Linked DNA regions of Rattus norvegicus. The protein of the gene in region 5 interacts with the protein of the main gene of each other region in a biochemical or structural test. Links are inferred from orthologs where the notes say so. Each region holds a gene or a part of one and is shown on either strand. Other genes may lie near its edges.

Region 1 (3,511 bases), on a different chromosome or scaffold from region 5:
CCCCACTCCCAGCCCTTTCCTGGGTCCACAGCAAAGTGCAGGGGCAGCAGCTTATGCTCTGAATCTGTGAGTGGGATCACAGCTGGGGAGAGAAAACATTCTGTCAGAAAGTCTTCTGAGAAGGGAGAAGGCAAATGAACACACACTGACATCACCGAACCCATGTGGGTCTATGACTAACTATAGTCCATCTATCCGCAACACTGAGAAGTGGATTGCATTAAACACCAATGAGCTACTCTCTTTCTTACCACCCAGGATACAAGTTAGCGTATTAATCCCCTGGTCTCCCTGCTGGTGAACCACAGAAATAAGTGCAGCCTGTACCTAAAACAACCTTTGCAACAGCGGTGACAGACACACTTTTTAAAGTTAAAAACTCTTGGTAATATTATATAGCATGGTTAAAAAACAAAAATAAAGACTGGCACCATCTGGCCTTCCATATTACTCAGTCACTTCCTCCCCTTTAGCCATCATTTCCACTTCTGAATAAAAGCCAGCCACAGACACACTGGGCCGGGCACCTTGTTCCTTGGCGCTGTCCTTCTGCTCCATCGACACAAGTGCAGAGAAGTGGGCCTGGTCATAGGCGAGCACCAGAGGGGATCGGTGACACTGGCTGGCTGGGACCTCCAATGGCAGATAGATCCCTCCAAACGGGATAGGGGCAAATGCTGTAGGAAACCACAAAGGTCATTACTACCAAGGGGAGGCCCTTGCCTACTTCAGTCTCTTCATCCTACTTCTCTAAGATTTATTTTATTATTTTAAATCATGGGTGTTCATGGGTGTCTGTGTGAATGTCACATCCCTTGGAGATAGAATTATAGCCAGCTGTGAGCTGCCCAGTGTAGGTGCTCGAACTAAACCTGGGTCCCCTGCAAGAGTAGTCCAAACTCGTGCAGCCACTTCTCCAGTCCTTTAATCCCAGTTTCAATGGCACATCCCATCCCAATTAATCCCAAGAGCTTTTGTTTGAATCTCCTGAGAAGCTTCCACTGTTTTAATGTGGAGCTCCCCACAAGGCTCCACACACAGGATCCTGGTCTGTGAGGAGAATGCAGATGAGTAGCTAACTCACCTTCCCCTCCAGAGTCCCTCAGCATGGTGTCTGCCACGACCACTATGGGCCTCTTGAGAACATGAGCAAGGACGAAGACATGGAATTCCTCTAGGCTCTCATATACCGGCTCTTCTGAACTCTCCACTCTACAGTTGTAGGAGAGAGAATGGAGGAGGCACAACATAAGGGAGAAGGAAGAAACAAAATGAGTCCTGAGACCAGGTCCAAAGTGATGGAAAGAGTGCCCCGCCCTAGTTTTCTAACCCAAAGTTTCCACATCAAATCACTGTGTGCTACATGGTCGGTGCTTCCACGTCACTCGTAGGGAGACCCAGGACAAGGGTATGGGGCTGACACGGTTACAAATCTGAGAGTAGGCGCTGGTGACATGGGTAAAGGTGCTTGCCCCCACTCCTGAAGACCTAAGTTCAATCTCTGGGATTCATAGAATAGACAGAAGGAAGGAAAGAAAGAACTGAGTCCTTAGATGATCCCTGCTCCCTCACACCACCACTGGCTCCGAGACACACTTACCCTCCACCACTGGCTCCGTTGGTACCTAGATGCATTCTGGGTTCACTTGAGGCAAGTTTGATCAGTTCATTCCATTCTTTCTGCCACTCATCTTCCGTATACACCAGTCCTGACTGTACAAGAGACCGTGCAGTAATGAAGGCACATGTAAGCAGAGGCTAGGTTCTGAAAGGCAATACCCATCCAGACTCCTAGTTACAGCCACTCTCCATTCCCTTAGCACTTGCTTTACACTTGTACTAAATCACATTTCTTCTTTTTTTCAGAGTCAAGACCCATAAAATAGGTTGGGTGGTTGGTTGGTTGGTTGGGTGGTTGGTTGGTTGGTTGGGTGGTTGGTTGGTTGGTTGGGTGGTTGGTTGGTTGGTTGGGTGGTTGGTTGGTTGGTTGGGTGGTTGGTTGGGTGGTTGGTTGGTTGGGTGGGTGGGTGGTTGGGTGGTTGGTTGGTTGGGTGGGTGGTTGGGTGGGTGGTTGGTTGGTTGGGTGGGTGGTTGGGTGGGTGGTTGGTTGGGTGGTTGGTTGGTTGGGTGGTTGGTTGGGTGGGTGGGTGGTTGGTTGGGTGGTTGGTTGGTTGGGTGGTTGGGTGGGTGGTTGGTTGGGTGGTTGGTTGGTTGGGTGGGTGGTTGGGTGGTTGGTTGGTTGGGTGGTTGGTTGGTTGGGTGGTTGGTTGGTTGGGTGGGTGGTTGGGTGGGTGGTTGGTTGGGTGGTTGGTTGGTTGGGTGGTTGGTTGGGTGGGTGGGTGGTTGGTTGGGTGGTTGGTTGGTTGGGTGGTTGGGTGGGTGGTTGGTTGGGTGGTTGGTTGGTTGGGTGGGTGGTTGGGTGGTTGGTTGGTTGGGTGGGTGGGTGGGTGGTTGGTTGGGTGGTTGGTTGGTTGGGTGGGTGGTTGGTTGGGTGGGTGGGTGGTTGGTTGGGTGGGTGGTTGGTTGGGTGGTTGGGTGGGTGGTTGGTTGGGTGGTTGGTTGGTTGGGTGGTTGGTTGGTTGGGTGGGTGGGTGGGTGGTTGGTTGGGTGGTTGGTTGGTTGGGTGGGTGGGTGGGTGGTTGGTTGGCTGGCTGGCTGGTTTTGAGACAGGGTTTTACTGTGTAGCCCTGACATTCTGAACTCCTTAGGTAGACCAGGCTGGCCTGGAACTCTTTTAAAAGACTGGCCTGCCTCTGCCTCTGGAGTGCTGGGATTAAAGGCATGTAACACCATGCCCCATTTTGTTTCTTTTTGAGAGAGAATCTTATGTATTGTAGACTGATACTGAATTAGCTATGTATGGAGGTTGGCCTTGTAATTCTGATCCTCCTGCATCTATCTCCCAAATGCTGGGATTACAGGCACATGCCACCATGTCTAGCAATCTCACATCCCTTACTCTTCTGCTCCCTTTTAACTCAATGCAATCTGACTCTATTCCGCTCTCTATGCCACTGCCCCATCCACACACTTCACCTGACTAACTGACAGATCCGATGGACTCTGGCTCTCATCTTTCACGGCCTTTGTCTATCTCTTTTCCTCTTTAGACATTCTAATTTAGCTTCCACACCACTGCTTTTTCTTTTTCTTTTTTAAAGATTTATTTTATTTATATGAGTACACTGTTGCTGTCTTCAGACACACCAGAAGAGGGCTCATCACAGATGGCTGTGAGCCACCATGTGGTTGCTGGGATTTGAACTCAGGACCTCTGGAAGAGCAGTCAGTGCTCTTAACCACTGAGCCATCTCTCCAGCCCACCACTGCTTTTTCTTATTCTCTGAACTCTCCTCCCCACAAAACTGGAGGTTTGGCAACTATTTCAGTCTTGCTTTCCTCTGGGTGATCTCTTCACAGGCTGTAATCATAGCTACTATATCTATGTGTACAGGACTTTAGAATTTACCCTTAGGCCCAAAATTCCTTTTAATTTCTATGTTCACATATC
Region 2 (4,031 bases), on a different chromosome or scaffold from region 5:
CTACAGGAGCCATACACAAAACGAAAAACAAAACAGATTTTTGTGTTTGCTACTTAAGAAAGAAAGCAAGAAAGGAAGGAAGGAAGGAAGGGAGGAAGGAAGGAAGGAAGGAAGGAAGGAAGGAAGAAAGGGAGAAAGAAAGCCTGAAACAACTTTCATTTCTTGAGCTGTATTTACATAAATTAATTTAGGATGGCTGATGTGAGCTCCTAGGGTCTGAGTGGAAAACGTCTGTTCTCACATCTACAGATGATATTTCCCCAACTGTGTTGAGCTATCAGGATATCGACACTTGGAGCACTCCCCATGTGGAGTCATGTGTCTAATTGCTTATACAAATGGCAGTAAAGAAGTGAGCTAATTTCTAATGATGTTTCTCATAATTCCATAACGTTTTAAATGATCTTACTTGTAAATACAATCAGATAAATGTATCTTTCATTGTGAGGTTCAGTGAGCCTGCCCCACAAGACTTTGGCCAATAGATGTGAGATCAATAGCCAGAATTCAAACTGCATTATTTATTGGCTTACAAATGAGCTGGCATTTATAAAAGTAGCTATCTAAAAGGCTTGGACTGTCTGAATCGCTCTGCGATGTAACTGTCAAGCCTCTATCAGGGTAAGACTTATAAAATGTATTTTCATTATCAACCCAAAATGGAAGCCTCAAGACTGGTAAAATGTTAGTTTGGAAAGTCATTTACAGTGACATTTAAAACAATTTATGTGAACAACATTTGACTCATGATAAGAACACTGACTATTAAATTAAGATTGGCTGTTCAGGATTCTGTGGAGCCCTAGCCTTGTCCTGTGAGTTAACATCTTCTGATATGAAGGGCCACTACATATCTAAAATGAAAGGGGAATAAGAAAGAAAGAACTTGTGACATTCTCAGCGAGCACCCATTAAAATGGCTGGATCATGACATTTCAACAAGAGGGCCACATAGAGGGTGGCTTCCTCTTCCTTGCCCCAGCATCTGTACGTTGGCAATCCATTTGCTTTCTCAACACCACAGCTCAGAATGCTTCCCTCTAAAACATCAGAGAGCCTTGAAAGTAGGCAGGTTGCCAATACCTCCTGCCCAGATCACCTCCCTATGAACACCAACCACAGCCGAAGAGACGGCACGAACTCCTCTTCCAGCCAGTCCGTGATATTACTGATGAGTGTTTCACAACTTCTTTCAATTCCACAGCAAGACATACTAATATTCCAGGTCAGCCTCTAATAGCCAGCGCTCACCATAACAGAAGACCCTAGAATAAGCTACATCGGCACCAGGAAAGTATTTCCTTGGGGGTTCGTTAAGCCTTGGGGAGCATGCAAATACTTAAATTTATGCCAAGATGATAAATGAGAGCGAGCCCAACTGAGAAATAGTTCATGGTCCCAAGAGCCTAGCTCAGGTGCTATGAGATTAATTGGGATGAGCACCCTGTGAGCTACCGTGGCAGTCATGTACACAACCACAGTCTGTTTTGGTTGAGTTGTAACGCCAGGAAAGGGTCTGTCCCAGGTAAGGGACGATGAGACCGTGTCATAATAAAGTTGTCTGGAGATACGATCCGTGGCAGTGCACGATTCCAGCTCCCCTTTCGTTTGCGCCTTCAGGGCTGAGGCTAGGAGCATCATCCTTTCCAATCTCTCTCGAATTCACAGAGCTCTAAGCGGAGGCTGGTTTCCATCAGCGTTGTCTTTTTAGGGGAAGTGGGGGTGGTACTGCAGTTCAGACCTGAGTCTTGGATACTTCTCTCCCACCTACACTCTCTCCTCACTTCATTCCACACTCCTCTGCTCTGGAGATCGCAGTTTTTTTCCAGAGCAACTGTCAAGATGTATTGCCACCCTTTCCTGCTAGCTGCACCCAGAAGTCTCTACCTGCACGGATCCTACGCACCTTCTAAAATCTCCACTTTTAGGACTCCAAGCAGCTCTGCGCTCCCAAGAGGTTCAGATCCGCACCCAGGGGCTTCCCACGCAGGCTTCCCCTTCAGCTTCTGGATCTCGGGGCTGCCTGGGTGGCCTCGACCCACAGAACAAGAACCCTTTCTGCTAGCTCCGGCTCCTGCCCGCGGCTAGAGCGAGGCACAGTAGCAGCTTTCAGCTCCGGGCGCCTCAGGTCTGGGAGGCGGAGGTGTGGCGGGAGGGCGGGCCAGCCCAGGTTCCTAGCAACCCGAGCGGCGTCCCCACTCCACCTGTCCACCCGCGGGTCGCAGAGCTCACTCGCCAGACCCGTGGTCCGGCCCCGCCGACCTCGCCTACCTTCCTTCGGCCTCTGGGGAGCGCCCACGCCGGCCGCCTCCGGAGCTCTGCAAGGAAAGGGCGCTTTGTTAGGGCCCCGCGAGCGCCGCGACACCGAGCAGCCCGCGCCGCCGATCCGGGCACGCGTCCTTCCAGAGGACGCGACTAGGGACCCGCGCCGGCGTCATTTCCATATGTAAGGGGCCAGCACTTACAAAAGCGCGCCGGCGCATCCTCCGCCCCCGCCGTCGCCCCTCCCCCCCCGCCGCCGCCACCCGCTGGCGACAGAGCCCCTCCGGGGCCGCCACCGCGTGCTGGACCGGGATCTGCGGGCTTGCGCCGCTCAGGGCGCTCGGGGTGCCTCGTAGACGGCGCATTGGCAGCCGAGGCCTCTTCGCTCTCCCAGGCCGCGTGACCCCCGTGGCTCCCCAGCTTGTAGCTTACCGCGTCCTGGGGTTTAGGCGCCCCGCGCCACCGCACAGACCATGACCGCGGGACTCTCAGGCTTGGCCCGGCGGCACGGGACGGCCGCGCCCAGCGCGCTCGCTCCCGGCTCAGCCGCTGCCACCCGGAGATCGGGCCGCGGGGGAGGAAGAGCCTGGCCGCGCAGGGAGGAGTCAAGGGGACGCCGGCCAGGGCGCGGCTCCTCCTCCCGCCGCAGCCGAGGGAGGAGCGGGTAGCCGCAGAGAGTCGGCGGGTGCGAGCCCCCGCCAGAGAGATTTGAATTTGGGAACGCCCTGGCTCGGCGTGATCGTCCTGCACCCAGAGGTCGCCTCGGCTCACCAGCGGTCCCTTGCCCACCACCTCCGTTTCCTCTCAGAGGCACCTAGCACCTGGCGCTTGGCACAGGACCCACAACGTTTCTGAAGAGTGAAGACCCCAGCTTGATTGACCTTAAGTGGAGGTTTGGGTACCTCTGTCACCTGCAGGTCACCCTGGTTTTCCCAGCTCTAGAGAACCCTTTGAAAGTCATGGGAAAGGGCCCGGAAGAGCAGTGGACCCTATAGAGCATTGAGCGCTCTGGACGTTCCACCTTTTCTAGAAGCCTCGTTCTCATAGGTGCCTTGCCCCGTGTATAAACTTCAGAGGGTGCAGTTAACCCTCTGTGACAGCCGCACAAAGCAGAATGTCATTGGAATTGGTGGTCCTTCTGCCATCAAGGTTGGTGGGTGGGTCCCCATCCTGCCTTTGTCTCCCAAGCCTCCTCTACATGCTACCCTCACTAAAAAAGGTGCTAACAAAATCTCAGTGCTCTCCCCTTCCCTATGCTTCCTAAAACCAAGTAGTCAAACAGGATCTCAAATCCAGGCTAGAGGTGGAGGGAGCTATGGGCCCCGAGGCAACATCTTTGCAGGATCCATGCGTAGTCCTTGTGGAAGGAAGGATCTGTCTTGATTTATTATATCCATAAGTTATTTCCACAAGAACCTGGACAAAGTCCTCTTGCCACCGAGAGTTGTAGGCGACAGAAAGGAAACTGGCAAGTTCAGGCTCCTGAAGCCAACAGATGTGACCTCTCGGTGACAATCTCCCTGAGGAGGTGGACACCATAGCGTTTCGAAAGCAGGAAGCTGGAAGGCCCGGAAGCCAGAGCATCACACAGAAAGCCCTTCACAGACTAAGATTCAGAAGAACATCGCATATGTGTCAAAACTGCCTAGAATGTAGTGCTCGCAAAGCAGAACTAGTGAAAGAGATTTTCCTGGGGACCCCAGCCGACCCAGGCCTGGTTTATTATTTTCTGCTTGTACTGTGCTATAGTTCTGCAGAGTGAGAAAACC
Region 3 (4,308 bases), on a different chromosome or scaffold from region 5:
TCCTGTCAGCATCTGAGTCGAACCCCCACCTTTCCAACCCTCTCTCTCACTTATCTCCCTACACCAGAGGCACGCAGCGTCACCCTTGCAGGTCTCTCTGCGGGCTCTGATCTTTCATGCCTGCACCATTGCACAAACTTTTGTAGCTGTTAGCAATACCCTTTCCCTGTCTCTACCTAGAGAAACTAAGCTCATTTCTTAAGCCTCCAATAAGATGATTTTTTTCCCCTCAGTAAAAGCTTCACTTATCTTCAAGCAGCTTTGGTAACCCTCCTCTCTGCTTCTATGTTTTGCATGCAATTAATTATAGCATTTTAATAATTCATTGTAATTCAGACTTTGCAAGGTGACTCTTTCTCCATATTCCCTTTGCCCTTACCCAAACCCTCTACCATCACCCATCTTTCTGCCTGGTGGCTTTAAAGCAAAGTTTCAATACAAAGTCTGATAAGAGTCCATGTTGGAAAACACATACCACACATTGAGAAACGACACAGTTATTCCATACCAGTTTATTTTAGATAATGTGCTTCAAAAACGTTTTATCATAAATAACCTTTCACATCATAAAATAACTTAGTACGATTTATAATAAAACTTCTGAGAATTTAACATCTCATCAAAATACATTAAACTGTGGCTTGAAAATATGATTAACCCTTTTCACTTTTCTTTTATTTGAGGGCATGAAGACCAAAAAAAATACCCAAAATATTGCTACACATTTAAAGTTTCAACAAAGCAATATTTGGTTTACTTTACTGTAACCCGGCCATCCTAAATTAATAGTTTTCTTTCTTGCACAGTTCTTTGTAGTTTTTTTGTCCCTTTTGACTTGGATTTCTGTTTCCACACAGCTTCCTCCTTCAGTCTCACCTCTCTCTCCTTCTGCAAAGTCATCTCCTAGCCCTCCTGTAGTTGAACTCAGCCCCTTGACATCAGTTTCTGTAATCCTTGCATCAGCGTGGGGAGTGACTGCTTGAGTAACTACAAAGGTATTTCAAAACTTCAGTGCAATTTGGTTCAGTTATTTCCATTCAGATGCCATCACCGTTCGGGGAATCACCGTTCGGGGAGATTAATCACTGGCACCCACTGATCCATGTAGCGACTTTCCCGGCAAAAACAAATAAGTTGACTTAAGGCAGGATCCTTCCATTGTGATGAATGTGGGTTCTGAGAACAGATTTAGAAAAATTACTTCCCCATAATATGATCAGCGTATGCTACTAGCTGTACTACTTTTGAAAGGGCCAAACCCCAAACATTCTGCCAAACAGCGTTTGGCCAAGTCTAAACACCTGTAATGCACACTGAGCCACACAGTTTTGCATATTAACTACCCCACTCTTCATGAAGTTATCATTCTCAAGACTGCCCTTCCAAGCACGTACCCTGGTGGAGTCATAAGTAAAATACTTCTGAAAAACATTCTCAGGCTGTGTGCACCGTGAGAGCTGCAGGGAGGGCAGCTGAACTCTTTTATCTTTCCTGACAATGAATAGCACTTTTCACTGGCAGCACAAATAATCAGGCTACCACTTCCCTACACAAGTCAAAAGAGTACAAAAACAAAAAACCAGAAGACCGAGACAGCAGCACATTTCTTTCTGAAAACACTATCCACCCACCACACATTTTTAAGCGGTGGGGAGGAGGGTGGAGAGGGCTCGTTTAAACAAACTCAAGAGCAGCAAAGAAAAGAATTCCACTCCGTACACTTCACAGAGTATCTATATCCAGGGAGTTAATAAGGTCTGTCTCCTACACGACTTCTATCTTTAGCTTTGACAGCAAATGAAGAATGAAGCTGACTTCTTAACGAAGGGTGAACCGGGAACTTAATGTGGCTTTATCTAATCTGTTCTGCTCAAAGAATTAGTCACACGAGCTAGTGCAGAGGTAGGCAGGGGTAGCTGGGTAGCCTGCTGACTCACTGATATCATCCGCCGCTGGAGGCCACCCATGAGCTTAGACACGCTCCTCACAGTATCAGAACCCCCGCGAGATCAGCGTCCAGCTCGGACAAGGTCCACCCCAGCAGATTCTGAGCTGCAGCCCCTGGTCTCTTACCGTCACCAGCACACAGTGTAAGTCCGGGGTCTGCGCAGCGCCCCCGCTCTCAGCGGGGCTCTTGTCGTTCTCCAGTAGCAACAGCTCTGCCAGCCGACCCGGGTTGCTGACCCGCAGGATGTTGATGTCGTTCTCGCAACAGAAAGCACGAATGAGGGTGAAATGGATCTGCAGAGCCACGTCCCGGTCGTCATCTTCATCCGCAGCCAGCAGGCACAGGACCACGTTGTCCGGGTCTCTACAGACAGTGGGCAACGGTGAGTGTACAAGCTCCGGGGAGCGCGGGGTAGAAGCGGGTGGGTAAGCGGGAGGCGGGGGGCGCGGGTGGCCGGGGCCACTTACACGTTGAGCAGCTTGGCTGCCTCGTACACGCCGACAGTTATGGTGCGCTGACTCCGAGCCTTGCTGAGCACTTCCTCCAGGGCATCGCCCACCGTGTCCATCCTGCAGATCGCAGGGCGAGAGCGGGTCAGTAGGGTTCCGGGCCGCGAAGCCGTAGGGGTGGCGGCCACCGAGTCCGCAGGCACACTTACCTTTCGATCTTCTGCTCTGCGGCCGAGAATTCCTCCAAAGTCATATTGCAAGTGCGAGTCCCTCACGCGGCGCGCGGGCTGCTCCTGGCCCCCACAGTGCCCGGCGCCGGCTCTGCGCTGGCTCCCACCCTCGCGTCTCTGCTCTCGCCGGCTTCTTGCTTAGCCTCGCTGGGGAACACTGCACAGCTGCCTCGGGGCCACTGGAGGACAAAGGGTCCGATCCGGAGATATGGGGCTAGCCCTCAGCCAACCACGGCTAGCCTCATTTACATGCAGCCAGGTCATTGGGTCATGCAAATTAGCAGACTTTGACACTCTGACGCTAGCTCCACCAAGCTAGGCAGAGTTGAGCGGAAGGGGGCGGAGCTATGCGGGAGGGAGCCCCTGGCACGAAGGTGGTGCAGAAAGCCGGTTGGTGGGGTCCGGAGCCAGCTCTAGACAGTTTGTGAAGCCATCTGGTGCAGAGGGCTTTTGGAGTGGTTCAAGTGTCCTCAGCTCTGACTGAAACAGCCTGCCAATTGTTTCTCTGGTTGTGGACATCTTTTGATTGTCGTTTCGTGTTCTTTTGTGTTAAGGGACTGCTTTTTAAAATTTATTTCCAGGGGTTAATGCACTCTAGTCTAGTTGTTATTAGTAAGCATATTTTTAAGTGTTCAGACGTACCAGGCAAAGCTTGCTTCAGAGTGTTTATATGCAAGTTACAGGTTAAGCTGCTTATTCCCAGTAGTATTCTTTTGGTGCCCTGATGGCTGGTTTGATTTGGTTTTGGTTGGTTGTGAGAATTTGAAACTCCAGGGAGGAAAAAAAAAGCACATTTGTGTGTAGTGATGGCACAGTACCGAGTTGGAATCTTTTCCACAAAAAGCTGGTGAAATTTCTGCCCCACTCCTTGTAAGCTGGTGATCACATGTCTAACGAGCCAAGCTCACCGTTCTTAAAACCTTTCCTGAAGAAGGCTCCTTCTAATCAAGTAAGAGCTAAGAGACAAATTCTGTGATATTCAGAGTAACCACAGTCTAAATTCGAGATGCTCATGATGCCCCCTAGACTTCCCATCACAGAGTATGACACTGCCTTCTGTTGCCTATGATCTCACTCTGAATCATGAAGCTGTAACTATAGTTCATTTTAGCCATGTGCTAAAATTTCACCTTTGAGACATAGCAACTTGTAGGTAGAAGGCAAACCTTTATAACTGTAAGCAGGAGTTACAAATTAAAAACAATTTTTAATGTAAACTTTTACTGCATAGTTCAAAACCCCCTTTTTTTGTGAGCTTATTCAATAAATACGAAAACATTGCCTGAACCTACTAGTCACCAAGAGTGGTGAAATGGTGAAATGGTGAAATGGTTTGCATTCCTAACAGTGCTTATATTGAGGTCACTGGGCAGTTAGAGAGGTAAATTTTGCAGAAGTACATGTGACTTTTGCATCCTTAAGTGTTTATTCTTGTGGACAAAATATTTTCCAATTCTCTTAATCTTAATGGAAAATTGATAGGTTGATTTTTCTAGTTCACTTATTGGAGACAACTTTCCTTTTAATCCCTAAGTGCTATGTCCCCAAGAGACAATATCTGAGTAAAGGAACAAGCGTCAGCATGCTTGTGTACCTCATACTTATGCCTTAAATCTTTACATGAGCTATGCTTGTTAAGGAATTCCTCAGGGCAGGGGAGATGACTCAGTGATTAAGCACA
Region 4 (3,565 bases), on a different chromosome or scaffold from region 5:
AGTCCGTGGGGAGAAGGCTCCATAAACAGCTCCTTGATGTTAGCAACAGACAGGGCCTACGGGAGCAAGGGCCGCCCAGCAACGAAATCATGTTTGTCAACAGGGGTTCTTGGGTGCTTTGCCCCCTAGGGGCAGTCCCCTTCACAGGCAAAACCTGGTATGCCAATGCCTGCACTCTAGTTCCAGGCTTTCCCGCAACTTCACAGGTCTCAAGGTTTGTCTTCCTAGTACCACTAAACTGTCAGTGTTTGGGTCCAAGTCTGGAGCCAGCTCAATCCCTGTTCTTTTCCTTCTGTTGTGAGAGCGCCCCCACCTGTTCAGAGACAGAATTGGGTCCCAGAAAGGCTCCAACAGAACCAAAGTTCTAGATATCCATTCCCTCTACCCACAAATACAAACATGAACATTTACTTTTTCTTTTTTTTTTTTTTTTTTTTTTTTTTTTTGGTTCTTTTTTTTTTTTTTCCGGAGCTGGGGACCGAACCCAGGGCCTTGCGCTTCCTACATTTACTTTTTCTTAATAAATTTATTCACAAAAAAGTGAGATTGCAGAGGTTCTGGGGGCTGTACATGGTCAAGGGCCTGGTAATTTCTGTACATGGGACAGGAAAACAAGGTGGAAGGGTACTTCTTAATAAAAAAAATAACGGGAGCTACAACCAACCCTCCTCCCCTCCCCGATTAAAAAGACACAAAAATAGACGTCTGTGAGGTAAGTGGGGAGCCTGGGGGCTTAAGGGTGTTGAGAAGGTTTTCACAGGTGCCAGGGCTTCAAGATGGCGTCACAGGCACCGAGGTGGTTCCTGCATCAATTGGTAGAACAGCACGTAGCCCTCACTGGATGCCACCTGGTTTTCACTGACAGGGGAGACACTGAGAAGAGAGATGGGAAATGGCTGTGGTCATTCCAGAAGATTCCCCCTCTGTCCTAAAGACGCAGTGTAGCGTAGCCAGGTGGCGATCAGGAGAGACCTCCCCCCCCCACCTATCCATGGTCAGGAACTTATCTTTTCAGACCTCACAGGAGGGGGTGGTGCCAGGGCTGCAGTGGGGTGGGGCAGGAGTTGAATAAGAGGCTGTTCTCACCGGGAGTCATTGTAGACATGCCAACCAGTCTGGCACCGGCACAGGGCTGTGTAGTGGCCATAGTGGACACTACCCGAGTGGTTGCAAAGGGCATACAGCTGGTAGACAGGGCTTCCTGCAGGTTAGATAACATCAGTTTCTGCAACTGGGAGTTGTGTCTCCCTCCTGAAGACTCCTTAGGACGTTCCCTGCCAGACTCACCCACTTTGTCGCTGGCAAAGTCCCCTAGGCTTAGTCGCTGCAGTGGGAAGTCTACACCTACTGAACTTTTCTTGATGGAGCCTCGGGAGGTGGAAAATCGGTTCAGATCTAAGCCCTGGTTAAGGAGCATTGGGGAGGCTAAGGGTCTCTAAAAGGGAGACTGCGGAAATAGATTCGGTACCCTCCATTCCCCCAACACGTCCTGAAAAGTGGCAGAGAAAGTTGGGGTGGCAGGTTTTCCCTACGGGAAACTCACTGAAGGTGAGGAAACACTGTATGGGAGATACCCTAAGAGAAATAAGAACTTGAAAAGTAGGATATGGAGCACGAGGATTCGGGGGAATCTTTGTACTGTCAACTTTTTGGTACTTCGTGTTTTCTGCCGACATCGGTCACATACCTACATAAACAGCAAATAGTGTTAGATCAGTGTTCTCACCTAGGTGGTTTTTTCTGACACCCCAACTCACACATAAGTTTAATAGGTGTCTCATTGCTTTGCCCCTCCCCCTTTAACCTAGGCACACACTAGGACATACCCGAGAGCCCCAACATTCACCCAGACATACAGCTGTTCTTCCCAAGTTAAGGAGGCATGCATCTCCTTTCACCCAGGCAGACCCTCCCGCTGAAGTCCCACATACTGGGGCATTCTCCGACTCTAGCTCCTCCTCCTTGGTGAAAAGGCTGAAGCAATCCCGCAAAGACACTTTGCCCCCAGCAAATCCTTTCTAGTGGGAAAGGGGAAGTGAGGGTCAGCATGTTCTGAGTTTCCTTTTTTTTTTTTTTTTAATCTTTTTTTAAATCCAGGCTTTAATTCTGCTTTAGAGACCCACACAGTTCCCACCCACACTTAGGGGTGGGGAGGGGTGGGTCACAGAACCCATGTTCCATCCACCCCTGGAATCTACTGGAATCCCACCTTGGGGATGGGCAGGGACAGGTCACAAAAAACCTCGAAGGTCGTGGAGCGATACCCACAGGCCTGGCACTTGAGGCAACTTTTCAGCTGGCCCACAAACAGGTCTAGGCAGAAGCACAAAGGCAGGAGAAAAAGTCACTATGGGATGGAGGCCTGACGTGCTTTCCTAGAACCCCACCTCTCCCGGTGCCTCTGATCTGCCTTTCTAACTACAGCATGCCACTCAGCTGTACACCGTTTCACAGCCCCAGCATCTGGCCTGGCCCCATGCTTCCTCCTCCCAAGCCTAAACTCCCAGTGTGTGCCACTGCATACCCACAATCTTGCTGTCTTCTCGCTCCAGGTAGCGCTTCCACATTAAGTTGGCTCGGTCATCATCACTACCACAGATTAAGGGGATGGGGACAAATTGTGAGACAGCCGTGTTAATACTGGGCACCCCTAAACCACTGAAATTACCCACAGAACCCTGTTCCCTATTCACATACCAGCGCCTTCCCTAAATTTCTAGTCAAAGGAGTAAGAAATGCTTCTGGGAACTTTCCAGGGAAATCCAAGATGAAAGGGAAAAGGAGATAGATAGATAGATAGATAGATAGATAGATAGATAGATAGATAGAGTCATCTTCCTCTACAAGCTTTTGATATATTTGATTGTAGAAGCCTCTCTTTCCCCAGTTTAATGGCATCCCTGACACTATTTTCTGTTTGCCTATATCTGTACTTCTCAGCTTCCCCCTTTTTCCCTTCCTTCCTTTTTTTTCCTGTGCTAAAGGGTCTCCCCTGGGCCCTACATGTCCAGTTTCGGTTGGCTCAGCTCTGTGAAGACTGAATGCTGACTGAACTACTGAAAAGAGGAACAAAGGGGAACAAACCTTACCTCAGTTCAGGTTCTTCATGCAGAGCCCCTCCTCGGCGAGGTGGGGAGGGAACTGGACCACTGGCCAGAATTGGTGGTGCCCGGCGGCCTCGTCGGTTGATTTCGAGGTGCAACCGCTCCATAAGGAGCTTCAGGAACTCTTGGGCATCCTGCTGGCTATAGCCAGACAGAATATGGACAAGTGATCTATTTGTGGTCCACAAGTATCCCCTGCCCAATCTGGGTCCCTGTTTCCTCTGTAGGAAACCTCAAGGCTCAGAACATGGCTGCTAGAGCCTCTGTTTGGCCCAACCCCAGACACAGCCAGAGAGAAATCCTATTCACTCAGTTCCCACCTGTATCCAGAGAAGGAAGGGACGTATTTCTGGAAGACAGCCCGGAATCGGGTAGGATTCACAGCTTCACAGGAGTCAGGGTGCCAGAGGGCACCAATCACATCTGCAAAGGCTGTTGGTTTGACAGTGGGGAAGGGATTC
Region 5 (4,186 bases):
CAAACACCCCAAGTGTGCCTCAGCAGTCTGAGGCAGAAGGATAGCCTTGAATCTGAGGCCAGTCTCTCCGCTACAGTGTCTCAAAAGTGGAGCCTGTCTGGGAGTGTAGTTCAGTTAGTAAGGTCCTAGCACGTCCTGGGTCCCCTCCCCAGCACTTCATACATTGAGGATGGCGATGAATTTGTAATCCCAGCACTGAGGTACCGCAGGCAGAGGAGCAGGAGTTCAAAGTAATCTCCACCGTTTAGCATGTTCAAGGCCAGCCTGGGATCCAGGAAATTCTGTCTCAACCATAAACCTAAGGTTAGGTGTGGTCTCGCATTCTTTTAATCCCAGTATCTAGGAGGCAGAGGCAGGTGGAGTGAGTTCAAGGCCAGCCTGGTCTACATAGTGAGTTCCAGAACAGACAGGACTACACAGGGAGACTCTGTCTTAAAAAACAACAACAAAAAACCAAACCAAATAAATAAATAAAAAATCCAAACCTAACAAACAAAATCCTGGCTCTACTGCAGATACAGGAAATAGAAATCTGTTAGAATTCTCGACTCCGGTGTAGCTGTCATGGGAAAGCTAAAATGCAGGGCTGTTTATTAAAGCTGGCCTTGGGCCCAGGAGCTCCATTTCCTAACAGGCTTCTGGTGAGGTAGCTGCAAACTACGGTCCTTTGCTTAAGGCTTCTGCCTCCTGCCTAGTCTTCCGAGCCCAGCCTGCCGAGGCATGAGCAATTTTCTTACTTGTAGTCCATCTTTGAGCTGAACGGAACTGTCAAGGTCATTGGGTGTAGATGCAAGGTGGACTTGGACTTGGGAGAAATGAGGCCAAGCCATGAGGGTAGGAAAAGACAGCTAGCAAGGTGATAGAGAAACCTGTTCCACAGGAATGCGAGTGTGCAGCGGGGTACAACAGTGGGGGAAGCTGAGAGACTGGCAACACAGTGTGGTTTCAAAGGCCCAACGGGACTAGGCTTGGGAGGGAGAGAGGCTTAGGTAGGTAGTTCTGGACCTTTGCTGCTCCAAGGTAGGACCATGGCCTGCGGCAGCTGTGGTATAAATGGGGCTTTTTAAGTAGGAGGTCTTCCAAGCAGCCTGTGATGCTGAACATGGTATACTAAAGCAGAAAGAAGAGGCCCAAGAGGGAAGAGGAGGAGAGGGGGTGGCACGATGCAGGGAGTGTGGGAGGGAAGGGCCTCGGGGATGCACAGGGAATGTATCAGGCAATGGCATCCGCTCATCTCTTGTCAGTTTGCTTGTCTCCGGCTATGACAAAGGGTGTGCGGTGCAGAGGCCTGTCTGTCAGGGAGCCGTGACTGCTGAGTGTGACAAACACTTCAGAGCAGGTGGCTCCTTTTAAACAAAAGGCTCTTGTGTCTCTCTTCAGGTGACATGGACAGATGTAAAGAAAACTGTGTCTCTAGGCCTGTCAAGGTAAGTAGAATTCCCTGCATTCACAATTGCATTTTAAAAAGTTATTTATTTTATGAAAATGAGTATCTTCGTGCACACCAGAAGAGGGCATCGCATCACAGGTGGTTGTGAGTTGCCGTGTTGTGGCTGGGAATTGAACCTAGAACCTCTGGAAGAGTAGCCAGGACTCTTAATGGCTGAGCCATCTTTCCAGCCCCTACAATTGTACTTTTTTTTTTTTTCTTTGTTTCTTTTTTTTGGAGCTGGGGACCGAACCCAGGGCCTTGCGCTTCCTAGGTAAGCGCTCTACCACTGAGCTAAATCCCCAGCCCCACAATTGTACTTTTTAAGTGATGTGTACTTTGTTTGTGTGCACCCATGCATATGCCACTGTGGAGGTCAGAGAGCAAGGCTGGAGGGGGTCTCTGTCCTGTGGGTCTGGGCTCTACCACAGGTCCTTGGGCTTGGCTGTAAGACCTTAGTCACTGAGCAAAGCCGGACCGCTCCTGAGCATGTTGTTCTGACAATCGCGTTCTTCCCGCTGTGGCTTTGGGTGGGAACTGGAGGGCTCTTCTTGACCGTGCCTGGAGGCTTCCTGAGCCTCTGTTTCTGTGGGAGATGCCTTTGCCCTGGAACCTCATGTCCTCTGAGCTCATGGTGAATCCTGAGGCTCTCATTTAAGGAGGAGGAAGTCTCAGTTTCTCTGAGTGTGATGAGCGTGGACCTTAAGAGTTGAGACTGACAGAGTCTTCACAGGTAATCCAGTGGGGTAGTGATTGCTTCTCTAGGTGCCTACACTTGCTTCTTCTTTGTCCTTGTTTTCTATGGAAAACTCAATAGATTCTATGCATTTTAGTTTTGGAGATTACTTCCTAAAATATTTCTGTTGGGTGAGGCTCAGTGGGCACACCTTTAATCCAACATTTTAGGAGAGAGCAGCGAGCAGACTGAGATAGTGCCAGGCGTGAGTCTGGGACTGGTCAGTATTACACAGTGAGACTTTGTCAAATACGTACTCTGAAAGGGAAACCCAGGGAGTTTAACGAACTGTGATGATGGTCATAAGCCACGGAAACCCAGCACAACCTTACATTTAGACTGTTCTGCAAAATCGCTTGAGGGCGATCAGTCGCCAGTTCCATCCTTTTTCCTAAGCATAAAATCACCGCACGATTTGATAGGAAGTTTCATCACAGTGGAGGCGTTTGCCTCAGAACTCAGTGCTCCTCCTGCCTCAGCCTCAAGCACGATTTGATAGGAAGTTTCATCACAGTGGAGGCGTTTGCCTCAGAACTCAGTGCTCCTCCTGCCTCAGCCTCAAGCACGATTTGATAGGAAGTTTCATCACAGTGGAGGCGTTTGCCTCAGAACTCAGTGCCCCTCCTGCCTCAGCCTCAAGCACGATTTGATAGGAAGTTTCATCACAGTGGAGGCGTTTGCCTCAGAACTCAGTGCTCCTCCTGCCTCAGCCTCAAGTACTGGGTTACAGGTTGCCAGCTCCCCGGCCTCTGGGCTTACAGGTGTTTGGGGTTTCCATCGATTTACCGGAGCTTATTCCCGCGTGAGGTTAAGGAAGCAGGGCTTGAGTCGGCCAAGCCCTCCCTAGGGCACACGCACATTAACGTAGCTTCAGCCTCCTCCCTTTTACTTTATTTATTAAAGAGAGTTATTTATATATTTATGTCTGGTGTGGGTGAGTGTTTGCGTGCATGCGTGTGCCTGGGACTTGAGGAAGCCAGAAGAGGGGGTCAGGTCTCCTGGATCTGGAGTAACAGATGGTTGTGAGTCACCATGTGGGTGCTGGGAACCAATCCAGAGCCTCTGAGAGGGCAGTCAGTACTGCTACCTGTTCAGTCACCCCCGCCCCCCATTTCCATGTATTACTGAGTTTTGTTAGACTGCAAAGGAAACTTGGTTCTCGTTACCATCAGCCTTTCCTGAAGGCCACTTTCCCTGTCTTCTCTCCATCTCAGTCCACTGTTCCCTTCGGTCCGAAACGAGTCTTGGTGACTGAGCAGATTCCTTCTCAGCACCCAGGATCAGCGAGCAGTGGCCAGGCCCAGCGGGTCCTGTGTCCCTCCAACTCCCAGCGTGTCCCTCCACAAGCACAGAAACCTGTCGCAGGTCAGAAGCCAGTGCTCAAGCAGTTGCCGGCTGCCAGCGGTCCTCGACCTGCTTCCCGGCTGAGTAACCCCCAGAAGAGTGAGCAGCCACAGCCTGCGGCCTCGGGTAAGTGGGGTTGTCACTGCACTGGATGATCAAATGCATAGATTGGCGTTTATCCTTGATGTCCTGGTCTCTCTACCATGTTTGTTGAGGAGGAGGAAAAGAATGAGATGGGTGTCCGTGCATGCTCAAGTATAATGGTGTGTCTGGGCTCCTCCAGTGCTGGGAATGCAGGTGCCATTGCTGGGTCCCCAGGGCCTGGGAGGGAGGCTGAACTCAGATGGCACTGCCTGGAACTGTGCCCAGCATGGAGAGGAGAGTCAGAGGGGCCTTCCTGACAGGAGAGGAGAGTCAGAGGGACCTTCCTAAAAGGAGAGGAGAGTCAGAGGGACCTTCCTAAAAGGAGAGGAGAGTCAGAGGGACCTTCCTGACAGGAGAGGAGAGTCAGAGGGGCCTTCCTAAAAGGAGAGGAGAGTCAGAGGGGCCTTCCTAAAAGGAGAGGAGAGTCAGAGGGACCTTCCTGACAGGAGAGGAGAGTCAGAGGGGCCTTCCTAAAAGGAGAGAGTCAGAGGGGCCTTCCTGACACAGCTGGCAGAGCAGGTCAGAGTTGGCCA

Evidence for each region.
Region 1: of the proteins of Aurka (region 5) and Otud7b, one has a biochemical effect on the other in vitro, tested with the Homo sapiens proteins (2 studies listed by BioGRID, with this or other methods). The link is inferred for Rattus norvegicus from reciprocal best matches to the Homo sapiens genes AURKA and OTUD7B.
Region 2: of the proteins of Aurka (region 5) and Nin, one has a biochemical effect on the other in vitro, tested with the Homo sapiens proteins (2 studies listed by BioGRID). The link is inferred for Rattus norvegicus from reciprocal best matches to the Homo sapiens genes AURKA and NIN.
Region 3: the proteins of Aurka (region 5) and Gadd45a form a complex in vitro, tested with the Homo sapiens proteins (2 studies listed by BioGRID). The link is inferred for Rattus norvegicus from reciprocal best matches to the Homo sapiens genes AURKA and GADD45A.
Region 4: the proteins of Aurka (region 5) and Usp21 form a complex in vitro, tested with the Homo sapiens proteins (2 studies listed by BioGRID, with this or other methods). The link is inferred for Rattus norvegicus from reciprocal best matches to the Homo sapiens genes AURKA and USP21.

The regions. Positions count from the first base shown.
Region 1 is NC_086020.1:186,399,333-186,402,843, reverse strand, and holds part of Otud7b (OTU domain-containing protein 7B), read right to left. Parts: intron 1,714-3,511; coding exon 1,601-1,713; intron 1,213-1,600; coding exon 1,085-1,212; intron 678-1,084; coding exon 528-677; intron 83-527; coding exon 1-82. UniProt on the Homo sapiens protein: Negative regulator of the non-canonical NF-kappa-B pathway that acts by mediating deubiquitination of TRAF3, an inhibitor of the NF-kappa-B pathway, thereby acting as a negative regulator of B-cell responses.
Region 2 is NC_086024.1:94,360,808-94,364,838, forward strand, and holds the start of Nin (ninein), read right to left. Parts: upstream 2,804-4,031; 5' UTR 2,695-2,803; intron 2,319-2,694; 5' UTR 2,272-2,318; exon of another isoform or gene 1,907-2,271; intron 1-1,906. UniProt on the Homo sapiens protein: Centrosomal protein required in the positioning and anchorage of the microtubule minus-end in epithelial cells. May also act as a centrosome maturation factor.
Region 3 is NC_086022.1:97,484,000-97,488,307, forward strand, and holds Gadd45a (growth arrest and DNA damage-inducible protein GADD45 alpha), read right to left. Parts: upstream 2,801-4,308; 5' UTR 2,651-2,800; coding exon 2,607-2,650; intron 2,518-2,606; coding exon 2,416-2,517; intron 2,331-2,415; exon of another isoform or gene 2,312-2,330; coding exon 2,074-2,311; intron 1,177-2,073; coding exon 1,063-1,176; 3' UTR 498-1,062; downstream 1-497. UniProt on the Homo sapiens protein: In T-cells, functions as a regulator of p38 MAPKs by inhibiting p88 phosphorylation and activity.
Region 4 is NC_086031.1:86,234,616-86,238,180, forward strand, and holds the end of Usp21 (ubiquitin carboxyl-terminal hydrolase 21), read right to left. Parts: intron 3,537-3,565; coding exon 3,425-3,536; intron 3,246-3,424; coding exon 3,090-3,245; intron 2,590-3,089; coding exon 2,525-2,589; intron 2,314-2,524; coding exon 2,210-2,313; intron 2,019-2,209; coding exon 1,932-2,018; intron 1,688-1,931; coding exon 1,609-1,687; exon of another isoform or gene 1,403-1,608; coding exon of another isoform or gene 1,396-1,402; coding exon 1,288-1,395; intron 1,202-1,287; coding exon 1,087-1,201; intron 874-1,086; coding exon 783-873; 3' UTR 512-782; downstream 1-511. UniProt on the Homo sapiens protein: Deubiquitinates histone H2A, a specific tag for epigenetic transcriptional repression, thereby acting as a coactivator.
Region 5 is NC_086021.1:181,557,964-181,562,149, reverse strand, and holds the start of Aurka (aurora kinase A), read left to right. Parts: upstream 1-1,380; 5' UTR 1,381-1,385; coding exon 1,386-1,427; intron 1,428-3,379; coding exon 3,380-3,635; intron 3,636-4,186. UniProt on the Homo sapiens protein: Mitotic serine/threonine kinase that contributes to the regulation of cell cycle progression.